4 linked regions of the Rattus norvegicus genome follow. The protein of the gene in region 2 purifies or fractionates together with the protein of the main gene of each other region. This does not show direct contact. Links are inferred from orthologs where the notes say so. Each region holds a gene or a part of one and is shown on either strand. Other genes may lie near its edges. The genes, in order: Mtcl2, Rnf41, Clec16a and Cacybp.

Region 1 (4,248 bases), on a different chromosome or scaffold from region 2:
GGAAGAACCGGAACAGAACTGTGATTTGTCCTCGTTTACTGGAGGAAGGTGCTCAGGTCCAGACCTGGAGTAGTTGAGGTTGGGAATTCAGGAAGCCACTAGGAGCATCCCAGGAGACTGTCTCCACCCTCACCCACTCCACTCTGACAGCTAACGTCAGAAGACTTCAACTGAACCCCACCTACCTAATGTCCACACCGAGTTACGCCTTTGTGAAGACTTATACCCCCATTTCACTGAAAAAGAATGGAAGCCTGGCCTGGGGAAGCCTGGGCTACAAACAGGTGGTAAATGGTCCTTTGTCAGATAGACCTGTGTCCTCAAGTGTACAGGAGTTTACTAAGAACATGCTGGATAGAGGACCCAAAGGAAAGCAAGAGCAACACCCCAACACCCTAAGAAGAAGACACCCCCGCCCCCAGACAGTAGAAGCAAGGGGCAGTTAAGAGCTGCAGGGCAGACATGTCATTAGAGCACTGTCAACTCCATGGCTCCTGGCCAGGCCACTCTGAGTGCTGTGCCAGGCCATCGACTGTCAAGGGCAGACAATACTGCAGCATCTTCCAGCTGGGGCAGTGCAGCCCATAAAGATTCCAGCTTCCCATGCCAAGGTCAAGAAGCCAGCGCAGGACTGTCCCCATAGCTGCCACCGTGTCAAGGAAGAGGCAGCCAGATCATGGGCTGCACCTCGGTCCCCCGTCACAGCCGACTGTTTCTCCCAGACAGCTCTCCAGTCCTACACACACAGAGGGAATACCCCTAGTCAGCAGGGCAGTTTCCCTCTTCCCACAGGGAACACGGGCCAAGTCTGCCCAAAACCACTCTCAGAGGGGACAGAGGACAATATCCTGGGATTGAGGAAGTGGCCTCTGAACCAGTTCTCCCACGACATCATCCTCCCAGGCTGTGGGACCGTTAGACTGGGCGGAAGTGGACTCAAGCCAAGGGGATGTTCCCAGATGTCACGCTTTCAAATTGGATCCGCCCCAAAAGGCAGGCGAGGACAGGCCTGCCGGGGAGGCCCTGGGTAAGGACTTAGGATGGTGTTCTGCCTCTCCTTGCCAGGGGATAGCCACGGTTTCCCTGGCAGCCTGACACAAGAACATTGGTTCCAGAACGGAGAGCTGGGAAGGCCTGCTGACCTGGGGGCGGGGTCCTGGGCAGCTTAAAGTGGAGGTCAGCCTTGGCTGGCTATCCCAACTCACCTATCCGAGCATCCACTAAAACAGTTTTACCGCGGGTGGGAGAGTGCACATCGGGGTCCTTTAGTCGGTGTCTTAGCCATAATCCCCCTCACGAGAAGAGTGGAAAGAGGTGGGGCAGCCTCTCCCTGTTTGGTCAGCGTTAAAGTGGCTGCCTGTGGCCTCAGGCCCTGGGGCTCTTGAGCCCGGATGACCAGTCCTCCCCCGCCCCTGCGACTCCCCTTTTCCCCTAGGTCCCCACCTTGAGATAGTCGTTCTCAGAACGCAGCTCTTCCAGCTCCCGCATCAAGCTTCCAGTTCCACAGTCCAGCATCTCTTCGGTGAGGTCGGAGAAGGCTAGCGAGGCGCTGAGTGGCAAGCGGCTGCTGCCCACCGACGATGCGGCCACCGACGGCTCATCCGGGGAGGCGGGCGGCCGCGGAGGCTGCTGCCCCGACGGCGCGGGCTGGGGCGGCTGCCCGGTGCGGGTCCCCGCCGGGCCGCCCGCGGCAGACTCCGCGTCGCTGCTCAGCGCCAGCTCCAGGCCCAGCAGGCGCGCCTCCTCCGACGCGCAGTCCGACACCTCGGAGCTGCTGTCCGTGAGGCTGGGCGGCGGCGGCGGCGGGCGGGGCCCGGTACCCGGACGAGGGCGGCCCTTGGCGCGGACCCCCGTGCGCACCCCGGCCACCCGCGGCCCCGCGCCCCGGGCACCGGGAGCCACAGCGCGCCCCTTCTTGTCCGGTCTCGCCGAAGACGCCGTGCCACAGGCTGTAGCGGCACCCGGGCCTGTGCCGCGGCGGCCTTTGGCTAGGGACCAGCCGGCCACGTCCTTGGGCCGGGCTGGCGATGGCGCGCGGTGGCTCTTCTTCCTTTCCGCGGCGGGCGCGGGCGCAGGCGGGGGGCCGTAGCCTCGCGCCGAAGACTCTCCCGCTGGCGCCTCCATCGCGGCCTCCCCGGGTCTCAGCGAGCGGCGCGCATGGCCCTGGAGCGGCCGGCCTGGGTGTCCCTGCGGCGGCTCTCGGATGCACTCCCGCCGCTCAGGCCGCGACTGCGCTCCGGTCTCCTGCGTCCGGGGGCTGCGCTCGGGCCCTGCCCCACGCCGCGCGGCCTCTCCGCCACTGGGTGCTCGCAGCGCGCGGCCGGATCTCCTCCAGGCGCCGCGACTCCGACTCCGGCTCCGCCCGGTACCCGCCCCCTCCGCCTCGCCGCGCCCCCGGAGCGCGCCCGGACCCCGACTGCAGCCTGCTCGGCGATCGCCGCCTCGGACTCCCAGTCCGGCTGAGGCCAGGGCCCCGGCTCCGCCCGGCGCGGCCCGCCCCCCACGCAGCCCCGCCAGCTCCCCGCCCCGCTGCCTCGGCTCGGGGGCGCGCGGCTCGGCGAACAAAAGGCGGACGCGGCGGGAGCAGCGGGGAGGGACGCGAGCAGGGAGCGAGGGAGGGATCCGCGAGGCAACAGCGACCCCCTCGAGGGTCAGGCGGGCCTGGGCAGCCGCGGCCTCGGCTTGCTCCCGCCGCTCCGGGACACCGATCGCTCCGCTACGGGCTGGGGGATCACACCCGGCCCAGGAGCCTAGAAGCCCGGCGTCGCCGTGAGGGCCTCGTGGACGGCAGGAGAGAATATTCCCCGGCAGAGGCCCCGCGGACCTCAAAGGGCCGGAGCCAGCATCCATGCACACCCAGCACCGCGCAGCGCGCCCCTTGTGGGTGCTGAGCCTGCGCGAACTCCGCCCCCTTTAGCTGGGCATGACAAACGACCCCATCCTATAGAACCGTAAACTGAACACAACCTGGCACGCGGTCGGCTCTTGGTCAGCGGAGGAAGTAGGATAGACCCTGAGTCTCACGCCTCCGGAGTGTACTGAACTCCTCCTGCCTCTCTGTCCGCTGCCGTAGGGTCCGTGGCACCTCTCGTGCATCCCGGACTTTGCACACCCTAGTTGCCTGTGAACCCAGGCATAGCCTTGTCTCCCCGACCCCAGTTTCACAGTCTTTGAGATTAACTTCAGGCTGTGCCTTGAGGATGCCAGATCATTAGATGCTTGAGGGGCAGGTTCTAGGCCGGGTGGGTGTTGGCATGGGCTGAAGATTGTGACCCTGAATACTAACAGGGTCAGGTCGTCTCCACCCCATGGACTCAAAAGGCCCCAGTCTTGGTGGGCGTGGGTTTTTTTCCTCTTGAGCTACTCAGGGTAACAGAGTTGATTTCTCAGGGTCCCTCATACCCTCCTCACCTCTGCCCTCTCCTTACTGCGCCTAAATCATAGAAAGTTCTTTGGCCCTGAAAGGCACTCATCCGCATGGTGGTTGCCCAATCTTTTGCCACCCAGAAGGATAGCCCTTACACATGCGCGCGCGCACACACACACACACACACAGACACTATGCAGACTTTTTTTCTTCCTTTAGACCCTTCTTGGTCTTTCTCTCCCCTTCTCCTTTCCCCTTTCTTTTCCATGGGTTCCTCGTCCTCCTCTGCCCTCTTCTCTTCTACTTTGGCCCCTCCCCTTTCTCTTCCCCTGGCCTACAATATGACCAGCTAGTTCAAGGTCTACTCCTTTTTCTCTTACCCACCGTGCACCGTCCACGTTGAAGTACAAGCAGGGCCTGGGTAAGGTTGCTGGGCAGTGATTTGGGAACCCTCGGCTAGAGACCCCAGGGGAATGCTCCTACACCCAAGCCTCAGAGTCCAGCCCTAGCCTGGTCTAATATACCTGTGACACGTTCACTAGCTTGATTGTCCCTGCCCCTATGGGCTCGTCATTATGATACAGAGAGGTTGTGCAGTTCTTGGAAATTGTTGCCGGCTCTGCATTTTTCCTCCCGTGTAGAACCTGGGTTTTGCCGTGTGAGAGGGTGTGTGCCTGGGGCCATCCTCAGTTGGGTAAGCACTAATGCAGACCATGCTCCATTCTCCCCCCACACCTCTCTGTCAGGACAGGGGTCTCATTATATTGCCGACTGGCCTTGAATTCATGGGTTTAACCTTTCCAAACAGCAGTGGGACCACAAAAGTCTGTCAACCCTTGTCGATTAAGGAACTTATGTTTTTAAGGATTAAAGAACTTGGT
Region 2 (3,773 bases):
AAACTGAAATTTGTCATTGCACAAAAAGAAAAGAAGAAGAAGGAGAAGGAGAAGGAGAAGGAGAAGGAGAAGAAGAAGAAGAAGAAGAAGAAGAAGAAGAAGAAGAAGAAGAAGAAGAAGAAGAAGAAGAAGAAGAAAAGAAAAAAGCTAGTCGTGTTTAGGGCCCCAGATGTTTGCGAGTCAGGGGCAATAACTCATTGAAAGGTCATGACAGACCGCAGAGAGACGGAACTTGAGTCTTCACAGAGAAATCTCAACCTCTCACCACAGTTCCCCTTGCTTGTTGTTGGGTCTTTTTTCTTTCATTTAAAAAAAATACTTAAAGATTTTTATTTTTTTATACGTGTGGATAAGAAAGGGCTGGGGGATGAATATGCCGTGTGTACGTTCCTGGGGAGATCAGAAGGAACTGTTGGACTCTCTGAAACTGGTTAGAGATTGTTATGAGCTGCTGTGTGTGCTGGGAACTTAGCTTCAATCCTTGGAAAACTAGTAAGTGCTCTTAACTGCTGAGGGGTCTCTCCAGCCCCCAGTTGTTTGTTTGAGAGTTTGGAGGGACTGTTTGTTGAGACAAGGTCTTACTCTGTAGACCATGCTGCCATGGAACTTAAAGAAACGCGCCTGCCTTTGCCTCCCAAGTGCTGGGCTTAGAGGTGTGCACAGCAGGCCCGGATTGGTCTTCTTATACTCATTCAGCGTGCACACGTGCTCGTGAATACACACATAGTCTGTGGGACATATGGAGCTCAGCAGTCTGCAGCAGTCAGTTCTCTCCTACCACGGAGATCCGAGGGATCAGACTCACCTCATCCGGTTTGGTGGTGAGCACTCTTACCTGGGAGTCCCCTCTCCAGCTGCCTTTGTTTTCTGAGGCAGCTCTTGTCGTCTAGGGCAGGTGCTTACAAGACGACCTCCTCCTCAGCCTATGAACTGGGGACACCGACTTGCAGGGCCACATGCAGCCCTTGCTCTCTCTTACTTCTGTTGTGGTTAGTGAGGTTCTGCCCAGCTGTAAGCTGTGTCTGAGTCATTCTCGAAGCCCTGTGTGTAGAACACACCTATCTCCATATGGGTCTGCTGCGCTCACCCTTGCCTGCAGAGCTCATCTTCCTCTGGACTTACGTAGCAGTTATCATGTATGCGATCCTGCTGGCTGTTAGTGTTAGTGTTGTGTCCTCTTTTCCATTGACCTGGAGCGGACGGTGTGTCTCTTACTGTTACAGAACCTTTTGCTTGTTTGTCTTGTCTCAACTCATTTCTGCCCCTGAGCACAGGAAACAAGTCTTGTACCTGACCTGAAAACGCTCACCTGTCATTTACCGTGGGCCCCCAGAGTCTGGTTGCAGGCTTCACTGCCGGCCTCGTAACTCCTGGGTCCAGGGTCTCAGCTCTCGCTAACTCCCTGTGTCCCTTCTAGGCGCCTCATTGTGAGCATGCCTTCTGCAACGCCTGCATCACCCAATGGTTCTCTCAGCAGCAGACGTGTCCGGTAGACCGTAGCGTTGTCACGGTTGCCCACCTGCGCCCAGTGCCTCGGATCATGCGGAACATGTTGTCAAAGCTGCAGATTGCCTGTGACAACGCTGTGTTTGGCTGCAGTGCTGTTGTCAGGCTTGACAGCCTCATGTCCCACCTCAGTGACTGTGAGCACAACCCGAAGCGGCCTGTGACCTGCGAGCAGGGCTGCGGGTGAGACTCCTCCTTCCACTCATGCAGGCGAGCCTTCCCGCTGTCACTGCACTCCTGTAGGCAAGGGCCCCCCCGCCCCCGACCTCCTGGGCTCCGTGCCCGCCCGCCTGCCCACAGAGCTCCACTTTCCAACTGTGAAGAGGACAGCAGTCCAGTGAGCTCTGGTGGCACTGGACATTGAGGTGCTTTATTTTCTCTCCAGACCAATGTCCTCTGTCAGGCCAGGTCACCTATGCCAGTCTCTCACCTTCATGTTCCCTTGTGCCTGTTGCTGCCGGTGTGGTGAGGGGGGAAGTATTGAACACTGGTGCTCTGCGCAGTGGAGTAGGACTCCTCATGAAGGAGTGTGCGGTAGGATGCCCACAGAGCAGCCGGAGCGACACAGCAGCTCCCCTCCTAGTTCAGGCTGCCCCTAAGGGCACAGGAGGACAGTCTGTGGAGGGGGTAGGGCGTGTGCTGCTTACTCAGTTGGTGGAGAGCTTTCCTAGTATGCAGAGCTGGCTCTGTCTCGAGCACTGTGGGGCAATGGTGATGATCACACCCTTAGTCCCAGCACTGGAAGGTGGAGAAGGAGAGCAGAAACTCAACGTCATCCTTAGCACCAGCTGGAAGGTAGTCTGTGCTGAGCGAGACCTTGTCTCGAGGCGTTTATTGGCGGGCCCTCACAATGCTGTCGTGTGGGTGCCAGTTCTGTATAAGGGCAAGGAGCATGTTTGGAACAGGAAAGCGAAGAAAGGAAGGACTGGGAAGATTGTTAAGAGTGTGAGTCGCAGAAAGCCACTCAGCAGTTTTCTGTCACAGAATGAGCCATGAGCCTCTAATGTCCTGTTGAATAGTCTGTTCCGCTCTTGTCTCATTCTGAACTGCAGCCTGGAGATGCCCAAAGATGAGCTGCCAAACCACAATTGCATTAAGCACCTGCGCTCCGTGGTCCAGCAGCAGCAGACGCGCATCGCAGAGCTGGAGAAGACATCTGCTGAACACAAGCACCAGCTGGCAGAACAGGTGGGCCCAGGAAACGAGGGGGATGAGGGGACGTGTCCACCTTAGTAAATAACCTCCTGCCCACCCCAGATACCACCGTGAGCACCAGCCACAGCCTGTGTCCTGCTCTGTCCACAGTTCAGGAGAGAATCAGTTGGATCTGTCTTCCCTCACTCCCTTCATCCCATTCAACCATTCGGTCATCTGACATGTGGAGTGCCTTCTTCATGAAGCCATTTTGCTATGTCTTTCCCTGTCTTCCTGAAGACACTTACACAATACTGTTCCTCAGATCTCCCAGGCAGCTCATTCTCAGACCCGCTGATTGGCTTAAGCGTCCTCTTTGGTTCTGTTCCCACCCAACAGAAGCGAGACATTCAGTTGCTGAAGGCGTATATGCGAGCCATCCGCAGTGTCAACCCCAACCTTCAGAACCTGGAGGAGACAATCGAGTACAACGAGATCCTTGAGTGAGTTCCACTCAGGGTTAGAGTTAGAGGGAGGGCAGGGCCAGAGAGAAGAGCAAACCCTTAGCTCCAGTGCAGACTCGTTCATTGGGATGGATGGCAGGGAATCCTGCCTGAGGATGCAATTAGTCCAGAGTTAGCTGAGTGCCATCATGTACAAAGCATGTTCTAAGAGCTTTGGGGTCCTCAGGATCAAGTGGGGTAGCTTAGCACTCAGAGGAGAAGGGGCAGAGTGACGTCCAGGACAGTCTCCAAAACCCAGCAAACCAAGCAAGTAAACATGGGAAGTATAAGATTCTTTCCATTCGGAAGGCCTGTGTAGTGGGTACCAGACTGTGAGTGTGGAAGTGGAGAGGAGTGGGTCTGAGGGCCACAGTGTAGAAGACATTTCTTCATTCAGGATAGTCTAGTGGTTGCTGTGTGGTAGGCACCATGCATTGTTGGGATTTCAAAGGATAACAGTCTAGACTCGGGGATGGAGTATGGGTGAGTGACGTGAACAGCAGGCCCAACTAGAGAAGGATTTGGCTTTTCTGAGCCAATACTGGAAAGAAAGTCAGGCGGCCTGCAGAGTGGAGGTCCTCTCTGAGGAGAAAGAGCCAAAGCAGAGGAAGGCAGGAGCTGGAATGACCA
Region 3 (4,486 bases), on a different chromosome or scaffold from region 2:
TACGTACGTCAGGACAAGAATGTATTGGAGGCCAGCAAGGTGATGCATCCTGGAATCTCCCTGATCATGAGAGATCAAGGCAGAAGGAGCCTAATTCTTTGGCTTGGTTTTGTTTTAAAGGATTTGGGACTGTCACTTAATAACTAGGAAAGTGATCTGTTCTAGTTTATTTAAGACTTCCCTGGTTTCAGCACTGAAAATCCCATATTCTGTTCCCCCAAACCCTCACCCCAGATCTGGACGAATGTTAAGTGCTCATCGTCCTACACGTCAGCTAAAGCCTCTTTCTCTCACAGCCTCGCTTCCCATAGCTATGAGCTCCCACCTGGACTGGCCACAAACCTGACTATGGTACCCCTGTCTGTGCCATATGACACTGCCCCATTTAGGGGATCTCTGATCCAGTGCTGCCTCCTCCAGAAAGCGTCTATAAAGGGAATCTACAGGCCCCTGGGACTGCTACTGTCCCTGTATTTGACACACTGAAGAGTCCTGACACACTGTGGTCTCTTAGCAGCAGCTAGCAGACTCTCCAGGAGTTTGTCCTCAGAATGCAGGTGAAGGGCAGCACAAGCACTGGGGTAGGCACTAGATGTCTGCAGCCCTTTTCCAAGTCACCTTGGATCTTCTAAGACCCATGCTAATCAATACCCAGGTTCCCGAAGCTGTGAAAGGGATTAAACAGATCAGCCTGAATTAAGGCAGCCAAGTTCTTTTTCCCAGGACCTTGACAATGAGCCTGAGACATTCCCAAGATATCAGGAAGGACCCTGAGGCCCCTTACATTATCAGGTGTCCACTTGTTGGCCAGCAAAGATGTCCCATTATTCATCACATGCAGCCCAGTCAAAAGTTCCCTCAAACTGAGTTTTATCCACAAAGACATAACAAAGAAACAAGAGTTGAGGCTTGCCTTAAGCTGCCTGAATCTTAGCCAAGTCCATGTATACAGGACACAATCAAACCCAGAGACTTGTGATGACTGAAACAAACAATGATCCTTAACAAGGCAAAGTAACACATTAATGGGAATTTAAAGGGGCTAGAGTCCCAAGTTAGGTGAGAGCCAGCAGGTGCTTAGGCTGGTAGGAGGCGCAGCCCCTCAGGACAATCACCCTCCCCTGCACAGCCAAATCTGCCCACACATTCTTCAAATCCTTCAGCCACTCATCCACACCCCACTCCCTTTCCGGGCCATCTGCCATCCCAGTTAAGAATTCTAAATTGCTACCAACCCCCATTCTTGCCCTCTACCTCTTCCCTCTCCACACAAGGCAATTCACAAACATTTACTAAATCCTTGCTCCATGACTGAAGCGGTTCTATAGCCCATCATCAAAGGGGAAGTCCCATCTAATTTTTAGCCCGAAATCCTTTCTACGGATCCCTGTCTTCCTTTCTGTTTTTACCCCACCATTCTTCATCTCCATCCCTGTACTTAGACAAAGCTTCTGGGGTCCCTTCTGAAAACTGTTCTCCTCACCCCCTTGGCACCTCCATCTCCAGTTCTCTCCCTGGAGCCTCTCCTTTCTCTAAGGTCTCTGTCTTCTACTACTCTCTCTTTGCCTCCAATCCTCTGGAAATGCAACTGCAAAGAAACCAAGCAGCTTCTCCTGTCTTGGAAGTGTGAGTTTAACAAAAACTAAAAAGGACAGAAGCAGAGCCAGAGAAGACAGCAGGGGTGTAAGGAACGGAACTCAGAGACAGAAAGGGTTTGGAGCAGGCTGCGGAGGCTTCGATGCCTATGTTAGTGATGCTGCTGCACAGTGATACTGGATCAATCACTTGGCGCACTCAACATCACCCAATTCTTGTACGGTTCCTAGTTCCCAGCTGGTAATGGCAAACTGGAAGGACAGAGAGATAAAATATGACCAAAGCTACACAGTCATTAAGTGGCTGAGTCAGGATTTGAACACAGGTCTAACTCCAAAACTAGCCTCTTCTGTGTACTTTCCTGCGTTCCCAGGACTCTGTAAGCCTCCTGCCCTCTCTCAAAGTGCTACTGCTGACTATCCCTTTAGATTTCCTTCTGAAAATACTTGTGTTCTTTTAATCACTGTTCTTTTTAGAGTACTTGTACATGTTCTGTGCGTTTTGTTCATTCTCTTATCCAACCAATCCTAAAAATAACTACAAAAAGTAGTACTGTCACTCTGTTCATTTTACAGTGAAGGAAACGAAAGCCTAAATGTTAACTAAATTCGAATCCAGATCTGGCCGATACCCGGGCCTCTGGCCTCTAAACTATGCAGCCCAAGAAGTGCCACCCCAAGAAGCCCAGTGGCCACTGTCCGTCCCCTATCAAGATAACTCCAGTCCACAAACCGAAAACTCAAAGATGCCCTTCCTTTTCAGGTTAGGTTTCTAAAGACTGAAAAATCACGCGACGTGTCCAAGGTCACAGGGCCAGAAACGACAGGGTCAGGGTTCGAAGCCAGGTGCCCTGACTCCAAAGCCTTGCGGATAACCAACATACTACCCTCCCGCGGCGCCCCAGTCCTCCTCACACCTCCGCGCCCCGCAAGTCAAGCCCGCGTCTGGGCGTCCGCGCCAGGTCCCGCGGCCTCCCCGCCGCGCGCCCCGCACACTCACTTCAGGTGGTCCAAGGAGTGGATGTTGCGGGAGGACTTGCCGTGGCCCCCGCCCACCCAGCTCCGTGAGCGGCCAAACATGTCCGCAGACCAGCCCCGTCGCCTGCCTCACGGTTTCATGTCCGATCCGCTCAGCGGCCCGGTGCTCGTGGCGACATCTCAAGCCCAGCCGGCAGCGGCGGGGGCGGTGGAGAGACCGCCAAGCACCTTGATCCCCAGCCCACAGCCCCGCACTGACATTCAGCCGGAACCGGCCGTTCGGCCGCCGCGCTTTACGGCCGCCGCCGCGAGGAACACTGGGAAATGAAGTTCTTGAGCGAGGCTCTTGACGACAGGACTCTGCGAATGGACTACAAGGACCGGCATGTTTCGCGCGACCGTCGAGAGGAGGCGGGACAAGAAGAAGGGAGAAGGCGGGTCACTGTCAGGGTGGGCGGGGACGGTTTGCTGAAATTGGAGTATGACTTTCTGACCTTATTGATGTTAGTTTTGTGATTAGAAAAGAAAAAGAGTGTCTTGAAACCCCAGCTAAAATTGGAGACCATCCTTGGCAATTTGGCGAGGTTTAGTTCTCTTAAAAAATATTACGTGTGTGTGTGTGTGTGTGTGTGTGTGTGTGTGTGTGTGTGTGTGTGTGCGCGCGCGCGCGCGCGCGCGCGCACTTGTAGAGTCAGTATAACTTTGGAAAGAAGGCTCTCACCTTCTACCATTTGGGTTCTGAAAATCGAAGTCAGATCCTCAGTCTTGGCAGTATCTTTGCTTAACAGCTGAGCCATTTTGATGGGCCTAACTCTTTAAAAATTTCAAAGGGCTGGGAATGTGTTTATGTGTGACGGATTCAACCTTCAATATCTCAATAATAAGAATTAAAAATAAAAAAAAGCATTGAGTGGTACATATCATTTGTCACTATCCTAAGTGATTTATTATTTAATTCTTACAACCCTATGAAGTAGATGCTGCTATTAACCTTATTTTACAATCCAGGAGACTGAGTCACAGAGAAGTCAGGCACTTAACACGTGACAGAGGCAGGATTCAAGCCTAGGTACCCTTATTTGCTTTTGTCGACAAGACCAACCAGTAACATCCCTGTTTATCCTTAAAACCTTTTTCTTTTGCACTTTAGTCTTAAAACATTTTGTAAGGATGCAAGCATTAATGTAAACGCCAATGTGAAACTAACCACAATGGACTTTCAGAGGTTTCCTCCGGTTGCCATCCAAAATCCATGCCCCTTCCTGACTAATTCAGTAAGAAAGAAAGAGAACTCCAAGCTCTCCATGTGAGGATTTCTTTCCTGGATCGGAACTGGGGACCTCTGTGGAAAGCAAGACTCTGTGCCTAACACCCACTCATTTATTCATTTCTACATTCACAGCTATTTAATCCTTGTGGCAGTCCTAAGAACAGAATTGAGTCGGGGACCAATGTTCTCTCCAGGGCCCAGGACAAGATTTTCACATAGCAGGTTCTTAAATGAATATTGATAGAGTGAATAAATTTTGGCTTGCATTGCTTCCAAGAATTAGAGAAATGGAGGCCAGCATCAGGCTAATGGTTTCTCATGTAAAAATTATGAAAGGACAGAAACAGCTCTGACCACCAAAGAAAATGCCCCAGCCTCAGCAGCTTCAAGAATCTGTTTCTCTGGGATTTGGTTTCCACATCTGTGAAAAAAGAACATGCGGCATTGCCTTGTCCAGTTCCTATAAAGCTAAGTGTGACCATAGATTAAAGGCCTTTTAAGAGTTGAGGATAGGCCTTAATCCCAGCATTCAGGAGACAGAGGCAGTGGAACTCTATGAGTTCTGGAACAACCTGGTCTATAGCCAATTTCAGGGTAGCCAGAGGCTTCATAGTGAGACCCTGGTTTTGCAGGACTGGGTTTT
Region 4 (4,423 bases), on a different chromosome or scaffold from region 2:
CAGAAAAGCACAATCAAAATGCAGAGCCCAGTCCCAATGGAGGTATTTGCAGCATAACTCCTTCACCTAAGGTCTGAGAGGCTCAGATAACTGCAGAAAATTACAAATGTTACCATGTGGAGAAATGGTACCTTTTGTGCAATTCTTGTGGAAATGGTAGATTTTAAGAACCAGAGGATCTAGGAGCCTGTTCTGAGATTGTGACTCCTAGTAATTAGAAGTTACATCCACCCAAAAAATCTTGACATGAATGCCTAAACTTGAGCTGAACAAAAATAGACACGCTATTGTGGACAAGGAAAGCCCAGGAAGTCACAATTCTACACAAGGACTGGCCCCAAAGACAGGCTGAGGGCAGGAGAAAGTCTTCCCCAAGGAAAAGCACACCAATTGGACAATTAGTACCAAATGGTCAGCCCTGTTAGCTTCCCTACAAGTAACACTACAGAGACTATGTATGCAACAATGAGGGAAGAAAAGGGACAGAGAAACTTTCGTAGTTTCATATTGAAAGAGTGCAAATGGGAGGAGGGTTTGGAGTGAGAAAGGGGGAAATGATTTAGTTTATTATACTCTCAAGAAATAAAAGAATTTTAAAATCTTTTAAATGCTAGTTATTATAATAGCTCATTACTCTGTGGCCTTTATGATCTCATTTGCTGTACTAATAACAGCTTATAAAAAGCACAGCAGTGAAACCCTGTCCACAATCCCAAGGAAACTTGACTCTGAGATCCAAAACTGCACACTCATCTTTTGAATTTAGAATCAAGATGTTTCATTCAATGTTTTTCAGTGGTTTCAAAATTTATGTGGATTCTATATATCAACATAATAAAAATATTAAAAGTAAAGCAAATACTTATTCCTAGAATAGACTTACCTAACTAACGGAGAAGGTTAAGAGTTTTTGCTTTTGACTGGAATGGGAATCCTTTTTTCTAGCTGACTCATGGCAGAATTCGAATGTCGTCTTTACGGCCCCTTTTTGCTCTAATGGACTCTTGAGTAAGCTATCAACTGAAGTGACTTACAGAAGAACCATTGCTTGACTTTTGTATTCACAGCCCTGAGACCATGGACAGTGCAGGTTCTGCATCCAAACTTTAAGGTGCCAAGGATCAGTTTCCTGTCCACTTTTTCTTGTCTTCTTGGCATGCATTTGTTTTCTACATATAAACATGTATCCCCCTTTGATTCTGTTTCCTAGTTGTTAAATAGGGGCTTGGTCTGGTCTGGTGGCACATGCCTTTAGGTCTACCACTCTGGAGGCAGGGGTGGGTGTCTCTTAAGACCAAGCCATGGGTACTTAGTGAGACCTTCTCCCACCCAACTGCACAAAATGTAAGAACTCAACTTCTCTCCACAAAAACATGGATGGAACTGGACACACACATCTACAAAGATACACAGCAATCCACAAGGCGGAATTACACACTCACTTGGATGGTATCACATGAACAAAAACCACCCAAGAAAATAACAATGTTAGTGAATGTGTAGAAATGGTACCTTTGTGCAATTCTTGTGGGAATGGTAACTTCTTCCAAAGCTTTCTCTTATTATTTGGCAACTACAGGGACTAAAAACATGCCCACAAAACAAAACTTGTTTACTCGAATTCACATTCGTCAAGATGGAGAAACACGTGTGTGCCAGCAGATGAGTACGAATTGTACCTGTACAATGGAATACTATTCAATCATAAAAAGGAATGCTCTTCTGATACCACGGATGAGCACGGAAGGCTCCAATCCAGCTGGACGGAGTACCTACAATGGATTTCTACTTGAGGAAATAAAAATATTCTGCGACTAGGTAACAGTGATGGGTGTACGACCGAAAAAGTTGAATTATACACCTTAATATGATTGAATAAGATGAACTTTATCTCAAAAGAAAAACGTGCCCCTATATTCATATCTCCAAGTCTAAAGTTTCTTCCTTTGGAGACAATAACAAACTACACCTCCGTGCGCACAACTGTTAAGCCACTCTCCACTCTCCCAGAGCACATGGTGCCCGAGTCTACTTACTTGTTGCAAGATACCCATGTTAATACTTTAACATTAACTTCCTAATTTTTATGTGTTTAAAGCCGATGTCTTGCTTTTCAAAGTGAGGGGGAAATTTCCGAAAAGCAAATCTTAACAGATAGCCAACGTGTCTGTGAACACAATATATCAATCACATTAAAACCGATATAGGCCAAAACCCGGCAATTCAATTACTCTTGTTATATAGCTGAGTAAAACTTAAGAATCCAAAAAGTCATCCACGTTCACTTTTTACAAACCTAAAACCATACGCCACGCAATTTCCCACAGCTAAATTACCAATAATTTCTTTTAAATGCTTTTATAAAGATTGGGGGTGTAACGCAATGGTAGAGCGCTTCCCCAGCATGTGTAAGGCCTGCAGCTCCTCCACTGGCGCTGCTCAATAAAAACTAAAACCGCAAGCACTGCCCAAGGCGTTCAGAAATAACACACCGAATGTATATGGAATGAATGTGGCACCGTGGCTAGTCGTGCAGGCAAAGGGATTCCTTCCAATTGCCCCGGGCCCGGAGCTCAGAGCTTTTGCAATGAGCTTTAATTTAAGGAAGGTTCCTGTTCCCTAGCCGGTAACCGGGAGCCAAGAAGAGCTCAAGCAATAGAGAGGGGACCTTCACCCGAGAGCCTACCACGATCCGCGCCAAAAACTGGGATCCAGACACACCCCCGACCTTCCTGCCGTGGCCCGGACGCTCGGGGTCCAGGCAGGTGGCAGCGCGGAGGCCGTGGGCCCGCGACTGGGGAAGAGCTGAGGATACCAGCCCCGGGAAAACAGCGGCCACCGGGCGGTGCGAGCCGGTGGGTCCAGGCCGACCCCTACCTCCTCCAAAGCGGAAGCCATGCTGTGGCGCGTCAGACCCGAGGCCGGAGCTGCAGCGGTGCACTGAAGTAGACAGGAAAAGCCGAACACGGCACCCACGAGCGTCGCAGCGTCGGCAGCGAGCTACACCGACCCGGCGGGACTCGGCGGCCCGCCCTCCGCACGAGACGGCTCTGGAACCTTCGCGAGGCTCCACCACCAGCCCGCGAGGCCCCGCCCAGCTCCGCCCCGCCGAGTCCTGGCCCGCCCCCAGGGAGGTCGCTTAGCAACGTTCAATTCTCGCGAGCGAACGTGTGCTCTAGAAGCGTCAAACCATCCTTCTTCCGCCCCAGTGACTGAGACGTCATTCCGCGCCGACATAGCCTGGCTGCGCAGTCGCAGCTCGCAATCGCGGCCTGATTTAGCTCCGGAACTAACCTTCAAAGGTTTGGGGACCCAATAGGAAGTGTCTAGAGAAGGACTGCTTCCGCGGGTAGGATGCTAAGCTAGCCAGGCTGCCATTTTGTCTTCGGTTCCTGTGAGGTGTTATGAGAGAACAAAAGAGCACTCCCAAAGAAACACAATTAAGATTAAAAAAAAAGGGGGGGGGGGAGGGGACAGATTTGTTAAGGGAGGAAGGCTCCTGAAGAGAACACTGGCTTTTAAGTGGGCATTGGGTCTCCGGAGACGTCCTGTGTCTAGCACCTTTGACGTGGCGCCCTCTCGTGGGACTGTAGGAAGGCTGCACGGGCTACCTGGCAGTCTCCTAGTCGCAGTTGTGGGAAGGCGGCACATTTTCAAGTGGCCGAAATCTTCATTCTCCCTTGCCTTTGAGAGCTCTTGATAGTGAAAGGATATTAAAAGAATAAGTTATAAAATTCACAGACTCAGAGCCAAAAACTATAAGAAACAAATCCAGGCATGACGGGGCCCGCCCTGCTGCTAGGACTGACAGACCATAAAGATAAAGAAAAGGAATGCAGGAACCAGCCCGAGTTATCAGGATTGACTCATGAACCATCTGGCAGGAGGACATCTCCCCCAGCTTACTCAGAGTTCTACTTTAACCAGATGTCCTCCAGACCCTGAGAAGCCCCTGACTTCTAGCAAGTACTCTTCTGCTGTGTTGTAATCTCACTGCTATGTTTGAATGAGCCAATTGTGTGTAACCGCGCCAAAACCCCCTAGCTTTCCCTATATAAACCCCTGACTTTTGAGTTTTGGGGTTGACTCCTCTGTCTCCTGCGTGAGACACGTGTTGGCCCGGAGCTCCGTTATTATTAAACGGCCTCTTGCTTTTACGTCAAGCCGGTCCCTCGTGTTTCCTGGGGTGCGCCATCCCGAGACTAGAGCGAGGGTCTTTCAATAGCAGACTTTTCCATTGCCTTCTCTTAACAAACAGTTCAGATATTGTTTATTTTCATCAGGGTTTGGATTAAGTGATCCCACATAAAATGTGGAGAAATTCTTCTAGTTGTAGGAGCCCGGATTAATAAACCCCAGTGTAAAACCGCTTTTCAAATTACTTTAACTCTGACAGCATGGAGACGTCTATAACATACAGGAA

What was found.
Region 1: the proteins of Rnf41 (region 2) and Mtcl2 purify together in Homo sapiens (affinity purification with mass spectrometry; 3 studies listed by BioGRID and IntAct, with this or other methods). This does not show direct contact. The link is inferred for Rattus norvegicus from reciprocal best matches to the Homo sapiens genes RNF41 and MTCL2.
Region 3: the proteins of Rnf41 (region 2) and Clec16a purify together in Homo sapiens (affinity purification with mass spectrometry; 3 studies listed by BioGRID and IntAct, with this or other methods). This does not show direct contact. The link is inferred for Rattus norvegicus from reciprocal best matches to the Homo sapiens genes RNF41 and CLEC16A.
Region 4: the proteins of Rnf41 (region 2) and Cacybp purify together in Homo sapiens (affinity purification with mass spectrometry; 4 studies listed by BioGRID and IntAct, with this or other methods). This does not show direct contact. The link is inferred for Rattus norvegicus from reciprocal best matches to the Homo sapiens genes RNF41 and CACYBP.

What each region holds. Positions count from the first base shown.
Region 1 is NC_086021.1:166,158,054-166,162,301, forward strand, and holds the start of Mtcl2 (microtubule cross-linking factor 2), read right to left. Parts: upstream 2,991-4,248; 5' UTR 2,851-2,990; coding exon 1,444-2,850; intron 1-1,443. UniProt on the Homo sapiens protein: Microtubule-associated factor that enables integration of the centrosomal and Golgi-associated microtubules on the Golgi membrane, supporting directional migration. Preferentially acts on the perinuclear microtubules accumulated around the Golgi.
Region 2 is NC_086025.1:1,443,056-1,446,828, forward strand, and holds part of Rnf41 (E3 ubiquitin-protein ligase NRDP1), read left to right. Parts: intron 1-1,417; coding exon 1,418-1,689; exon of another isoform or gene 1,690-1,716; intron 1,717-2,558; coding exon 2,559-2,694; intron 2,695-3,039; coding exon 3,040-3,143; intron 3,144-3,773. UniProt on the Homo sapiens protein: Acts as E3 ubiquitin-protein ligase and regulates the degradation of target proteins. Polyubiquitinates MYD88. Negatively regulates MYD88-dependent production of pro-inflammatory cytokines.
Region 3 is NC_086028.1:5,627,777-5,632,262, forward strand, and holds the start of Clec16a (protein CLEC16A), read right to left. Parts: upstream 2,844-4,486; 5' UTR 2,676-2,843; coding exon 2,596-2,675; intron 1-2,595. UniProt on the Homo sapiens protein: Regulator of mitophagy through the upstream regulation of the RNF41/NRDP1-PRKN pathway. Mitophagy is a selective form of autophagy necessary for mitochondrial quality control.
Region 4 is NC_086031.1:74,978,191-74,982,613, forward strand, and holds the start of Cacybp (calcyclin-binding protein), read right to left. Parts: upstream 3,050-4,423; 5' UTR 2,899-3,049; coding exon 2,878-2,898; exon of another isoform or gene 2,687-2,877; intron 1-2,686. UniProt on the Homo sapiens protein: May be involved in calcium-dependent ubiquitination and subsequent proteasomal degradation of target proteins. Probably serves as a molecular bridge in ubiquitin E3 complexes. Participates in the ubiquitin-mediated degradation of beta-catenin (CTNNB1).